Linked DNA regions of Oryza sativa Japonica Group. Each later gene encodes a partner of the first gene's protein in a complex. Links are inferred from orthologs where the notes say so. Each region holds a gene or a part of one and is shown in the gene's direction. Other genes may lie near its edges.

What was found.
Region 2: the proteins of nAD(P)H-quinone oxidoreductase subunit M, chloroplastic (region 1) and ndhK are in contact, whole or in part, in a cryo-EM structure (PDB 7WFG), measured with the Arabidopsis thaliana proteins. The link is inferred for Oryza sativa Japonica Group from reciprocal best matches to the Arabidopsis thaliana genes NdhM and ndhK. Residues at the interface, in NP_001031804.1 of Arabidopsis thaliana: Trp89, Ser91, Val93, Thr94, Arg95, Ile104, Asp105, Pro106, Glu107, Asp117, Lys118, Leu119, Thr120, Leu121, Ile122, Leu123, Asp124, Thr126, Val130, Trp131, Glu151, Ala153, Pro154, Leu155, Arg161, Gln181, Tyr182, Asn183, Met184, Asp185; in NP_051063.1 of Arabidopsis thaliana: Ser3, Ile4, Lys5, Phe6, Pro7, Met83, Pro87, Val90, Arg91, Tyr101, Val126, Asp127, Lys128, Leu129, Ile130, Pro131, Val132, Asp133, Tyr135, Lys156, Glu160, Arg173, Cys174, Phe175, Thr176, Thr177, Asn178, His179, Lys180, Val183.

The regions. Positions count from the first base shown.
Region 1 is NC_089038.1:27,480,271-27,483,576, forward strand, and holds nAD(P)H-quinone oxidoreductase subunit M, chloroplastic, read left to right. Parts: upstream 1-1,430; 5' UTR 1,431-1,470; coding exon 1,471-1,956; intron 1,957-2,110; coding exon 2,111-2,287; 3' UTR 2,288-2,651; downstream 2,652-3,306. Other genes in the region: uncharacterized LOC4336529, read left to right, coding at 1-77, 169-405; uncharacterized LOC4336531, read right to left, coding at 2,919-2,996. UniProt on the Arabidopsis thaliana protein: NDH shuttles electrons from NAD(P)H:plastoquinone, via FMN and iron-sulfur (Fe-S) centers, to quinones in the photosynthetic chain and possibly in a chloroplast respiratory chain.
Region 2 is NC_001320.1:47,926-50,711, reverse strand, and holds ndhK (NADH dehydrogenase subunit K), read left to right. Parts: upstream 1-1,465; coding exon 1,466-2,143; downstream 2,144-2,786. Other genes in the region: ndhC (NADH dehydrogenase subunit 3), read left to right, coding at 1,050-1,412; ndhJ (NADH dehydrogenase subunit J), read left to right, coding at 2,241-2,720. UniProt on the Arabidopsis thaliana protein: NDH shuttles electrons from NAD(P)H:plastoquinone, via FMN and iron-sulfur (Fe-S) centers, to quinones in the photosynthetic chain and possibly in a chloroplast respiratory chain.

The DNA.
Region 1 (3,306 bases):
ACGACGCCGACGGTTGCAGCATCCCGACAAGACCGCTGCCGGCGATCAACCCGATGGGAAACCACGTTTCCTTCCAGGTATCAGTCGCATGCACGCAGGTCGATCAGCTACTGTTATGTTCGAGAGCAGAGTTCGTATTTGTCTTAACTCGATTTGAGCGAATGGCAGTGCTCAGACATGGCGGTCATGAAGGCGAGGCTACGAGCCATGGACCGGGAGTTCGTCGTGAGGAAAGTGTGGGACGGGGAGACGGTGGTGGACCAGCTCTTCTTCCACGACCCCGACGGCAATATGATCGAGGTCTGCAACTGCGAGAACCTCCCCGTGATACCCCTCATCGTTGCATCGACGCCCGGGCTTCCTGAGCTGCTGCCGCCGGCGATGCAGACCAATGTCCATGGCTAGCTCGAGCTACGTTCTTATGTCTCTCCTTTGTACATAAATACATGATTAAATTTCATTCGTTTGAATTGGTTCATTCGTACGTTAGTTGTAAGTATTCTATTTGCTGCACCATGCATACACGTTAGTTGTAGTAATTGATTGCTGCCAAGATTACATTACTGCCCAATATATATATATATATATATGAACAAGTTGTTTATATATAATAAAGTGTTTTAAGTGTTCCAAGTCTCCGGTGTACGACGTACATGTCTCCCAAGTATTTTACTCTGTTCGTCCCATTTTAAGTGTAGCCATGATTTTCCGCGCCTAATTTTAACGGTCCGTCTTATTTAAAAAAAATTAAAAACATAAGTCACGGGTAAAGTGCTATTCATGTTGTATCATCACATAACAACAACAAAAATACTAATTATAAAAAATTTTCAAATAAGACGGATGATCAAAGTTAGACACGGAAATTTATGGTTGCACTTAAAATAGGACGGATGGAGTAATCCTGAACAGACTTTTCCCGCCTGAGAAAGCTTAAAATCACTACAGAGGCTTTTGCTTTGCCTTTCATGTGAAGCGATCATCACAAAGTGAAAAGGAAAAAAAATTACTCTCGTTATTTTAAAGGCCATGGAGTATGCGTATCCTCTGCTTTTGCTGTGCCGAGGAAAAGTGGGTTACTTCTTTAAGTATGAAATCACCGTCACACCACATGGAGTTATAAAAAAACAGTCACATACAAAGTTTTGTCAGAAATGCAACAGTATTTATCCATACCACACGAGAGCGCGTGCTGCTCAGCTCTGTCATGCAATGCAACAGGCCGTGCCAACGTCCACAGCCCAATACATTTGTGTGGTCAATTGGCCCAGAACATGTACGAGTCGCTGAAACCCAGTGCCAGAAATAGCCCTTATCCACACAAGCCACACACAGCCAGTGGCTCCAAGGCGGCACGGCACGGCAGCTTAGCCGCGCGCGCGCAGGCGCAGCAAACCTAAAAAAACCACCACCACCCACGCAACACAAACACAAGCCAAGCCAAAGCCAAGCGAAACAGCTGCGCGCAGCATGGCAACCACGGCGTCCCCGTTCCTGTCCCCGGCCAAGCTGTCGCTCGAGCGCCGGCTCCCGCGCGCGACGTGGACGGCGCGACGAAGCGTCAGGTTCCCGCCGGTGCGAGCCCAAGATCAGCAGCAGCAGGTGAAAGAGGAGGAGGAGGAGGCGGCGGTGGAAAACCTGCCGCCGCCGCCGCAGGAGGAGGAGCAGAGGCGGGAGCGGAAGACGAGGAGGCAGGGGCCGGCGCAGCCGCTGCCGGTGCAGCCGCTGGCGGAGAGCAAGAACATGAGCCGGGAGTACGGCGGGCAGTGGCTGAGTTGCACGACGCGGCACATCCGCATCTACGCCGCGTACATCAACCCGGAGACCAACGCCTTCGACCAGACGCAGATGGACAAGCTCACCCTCCTCCTCGACCCCACCGACGAGTTCGTCTGGACCGACGAGACGTGCCAGAAGGTCTACGACGAGTTCCAGGACCTCGTCGATCACTACGAGGTATACTACGCACCGTAACTCATAGGCAGAATTGGCAATTGCAAATGCAGGGTAGCAGTAGTGTACACCCATGGTCTCTTTCTCCAGGTGGAAATGTTAGTTGTAAGAGCTTAATTGGTAGTACCTGCTTAACTGACCTGGATTGAATTTACAGGGCGCGGAGCTGTCAGAGTACACGCTTCGTTTGATCGGATCTGATCTTGAGCACTTCATCCGCAAACTGCTATACGATGGGGAGATAAAGTACAACATGATGTCTAGAGTCCTCAATTTCAGCATGGGCAAACCAAGGATCAAATTCAACAGCAGCCAGATCCCAGATGTAAAATAGAATGCGTGTTGTACCCTAAAGAGAAAGCATGTAACTATCAATGATTTTCCCGTTCAAAGATGCCCAATGTATATTTTGCTCTTCCAGAAGAGCCATGAGCTAGGGTATTTCCGAACTCAAATCGGGTTCATACAAAAGCAGAACATTCACAGTCGATAATAATTTTGTCGACTCCAACATGGTTACATAAAGAGAAGCTGAGCAAACTGAGGGTATTACCCTGTCGTGAAGACTAAGGAAGGGTCTAGCACTCTAGTTTCATGGCATTTCCGTTCTATGGTTTTTGCTGAGTATTAGCGGTGTGAAAATGTCGATACTTCAGGTAATCCAATCACATTGAAATAACACCACTGCTTTATTGCTTTATGATGGTGAGATCAGGTAGAACATGGAATCCAGCCCTCAAATTCACAGGCAAAACTCAATGTTAAATTATTTGCAAAGAGGATGTGCGCATATTCCAATAGGGAATTATTTCTCGATCATTGGCAATATATTTATTTATCTCATTCCATATAGATACGAGACAATCTCTGCTGATGACATTACGTCACCCTTAAGAGAGTCATTCCCGCAAATAGATGTTTAATGTTTTGGACTTGAGGGTTTGACCAGCTGCAATGTGTAAATCTCAATCGATCAAAGGAATAACCTCGTGGTCTTTAGAAACATCAACCCATGGCCTGAATTGATCTTCATGTGCATTATTCTGCAAAAGAGTGTCATACAATTCAAAAATTGCCAATTACAAAACTGCATCTCAATCTTTTTTTAGAAAAATGCCATCGCTGCATTAAGTACTAATGTCATCATGCTACTTAGGTAGTTGTGTTGTACTAAACTGCAGAGTACAATTCCACGCAGTAAGAAAATAGTACTATTCAGTAATGCTGCAAATAAACTGTTTACGCTGCTACTTATATCAGGCTCACCTAGACTGATCTTAAAATGAACTGTATATTGAGCAGCAAATGAACCATCTATTCCGACTTAGAAAAAAAACATCTATAAGTTATCGA
Region 2 (2,786 bases), on another chromosome or scaffold:
TCATAGTCAACTCTTGTAGCGGAACGATAGAGACTCTATTTCACTTAGGTTGATTTAATTTAGGCCGGCGAGACCTAAGTCAAGGTAATCCTCCTTTGAAACACTTTGGTATTGCTCTTAGATAGATCATAATACAAATAATCAATCAGAGCGCAGGGAGCCATCTCATTATCTTTCCGTAAAGAAAAACTATGGTGGACTAACTGATCTTTCTATCAGTTGATAAAAGAGCCCAATGCAAAAAAAATGCATGTTGGGTCTTTGAAACAGTTCGAATCATTTCGATAATAATCCGTTTGATCTGTTTTACCGAGAAGGTCTACGGTTCGAATCCGTATAGCCCTAATATGTCCTTTTTTAGATTTTAGGAGAGATATCCTACGTTTCCTTTAGTATAGTTTTCATTTCCCTATTAGTACTTGTTTATAGACTGGACAGGCGCCTGCGCCATAAAATAGAGATAAAAGGATTACCAGAGGCTCATTCATCGAAAATTATAGAGACAGGAAAAGAAAAATGAATTTCTATCAAATCAACTGCAAGATGTTCTCCATCTTGCAAATTCCTACTTTGTTTGAAGTATATTACTTTGCTTATCTATATCTATAGATTACCTAAATCTAAATCAATCTACGTTCTGAAATAGAGTTCTTTATTTTTATAGAATTACTCCTCATTAGGCTGCATACATTAGTCATCCTATCTTAATTAGGCTCTAATTCGTAGTATTTTCGTTTTTATTCCTTTTTCTAGAGATTCTAGAGAAAATGAGACAAAGTGAAGCGAGAGAGTTTTGTTTCTATAAGAATTATGTCTCCACCATACCTAAATAGAAAGGAAATCAAAAAGAAAGGGGGTCGGGATTCCATTGGATGAATCTTTAAAGAAGACGTGGCAAAGAGGAAACAAAGGCTAAACTAAGCCTTTGGTTTGAGAAAAACCGATCCTTGTTTCACCGAGGAAAAGAGAGAAATTCTGTATAAATTGACAATGCTGACTTGAATTGACTAATTCAGTTCCGCCTATTCCACATTAATGGGAGTACATTTATGTTTCTGCTTCACGAATATGATATTTTTTGGGCATTTCTAATAATAGCAAGCCTTATTCCTATTTTAGCATTTTGGATTTCAGCACTTTTAGCTCCGGTTCGTGAAGGACCAGAGAAGCTTTCTAGTTATGAATCGGGTATAGAACCCATGGGGGGGGCTTGGTTACAATTCCGAATACGCTATTACATGTTTGCGCTAGTTTTTGTTGTTTTTGATGTGGAAACGGTCTTTCTCTACCCTTGGGCAATGAGTTTCGACGTATTGGGTATATCCGTTTTTATCGAAGCTTTCATTTTCGTGCTTATCCTAGTTGTTGGTTTAGTTTATGCATGGCGAAAAGGAGCCTTGGAATGGTCTTAACTGAATATTCAGACAAAAAAAAAAAAGAAGGAAAAGATTCCATTAAGACAGTTATGAGTTTGATTGAGTTTCCCCTACTTGACCAAAGAAGTTCCAATTCCGTTATTTCAACTACACTAAAAGATCTTTCGAATTGGTCAAGACTCTCTAGTTTATGGCCCCTTCTATATGGTACCAGTTGTTGTTTCATTGAATTTGCTTCATTAATAGGCTCACGATTCGACTTTGATCGTTATGGATTGGTACCAAGATCAAGTCCTAGGCAAGCGGACCTAATTTTAACAGCCGGTACAGTAACAATGAAAATGGCTCCCTCTTTAGTGAGATTATATGAGCAAATGCCTGAACCAAAATACGTCATTGCTATGGGAGCTTGTACTATTACTGGTGGAATGTTCAGTACGGATTCCTATAGTACTGTTCGGGGAGTTGATAAGTTAATTCCTGTGGACGTCTACTTGCCGGGTTGCCCACCTAAACCAGAGGCTGTTATAGATGCCCTAACAAAACTTCGTAAGAAGATATCGCGAGAAATAGTTGAGGATCGAACTCTATCTCAAAAGAAAAATCGATGTTTTACTACCAGCCACAAGCTTTATGTTCGGCGCAGTACTAATACTGGAACTTATGAGCAAGAATTGCTCTATCAATCACCATCTACTTTAGACATATCTTCTGAAACTTTTTTCAAATCCAAAAGTCCAGTATCTTCCTACAAATTAGTGAATTAGGAGGAGCTCTTTGTGCCGAAAAAGAAAGAGCAGGGCAATATTTCAAACTTGCATTCGAACTGCGAAATATTTATACAAAGGAGGAGAGATCAAGATAATGCAGCAGGGTTGGTTATCTAATTGGCTAGTCAAACATGAGGTGGTTCATAGATCTTTGGGCTTCGATCATCGAGGAATAGAGACTTTGCAAATAAAAGCAGAGGATTGGGATTCCATTGCTGTCATTTTATATGTATATGGTTACAATTATTTACGTTCCCAATGTGCTTATGACGTTGCACCCGGTGGATCTTTAGCTAGCGTGTATCATCTTACGAGAATACAGTATGGTATAGATAACCCAGAAGAAGTATGCATAAAAGTCTTTGCCCAAAAGGATAATCCTAGAATCCCATCTGTCTTCTGGATTTGGAGAAGTTCCGATTTTCAAGAACGCGAATCTTTTGATATGGTGGGAATCTCTTATGATAATCATCCACGCCTTAAACGTATCCTAATGCCTGAAAGTTGGATAGGCTGGCCCTTACGTAAGGACTATATAACCCCCAATTTCTATGAAATACAAGATGCTCATTGAATGATAAGAAATTCATGCTCACTTATACAACACAACTCCAGATTTTATGCAAGTCAAGGAATATTT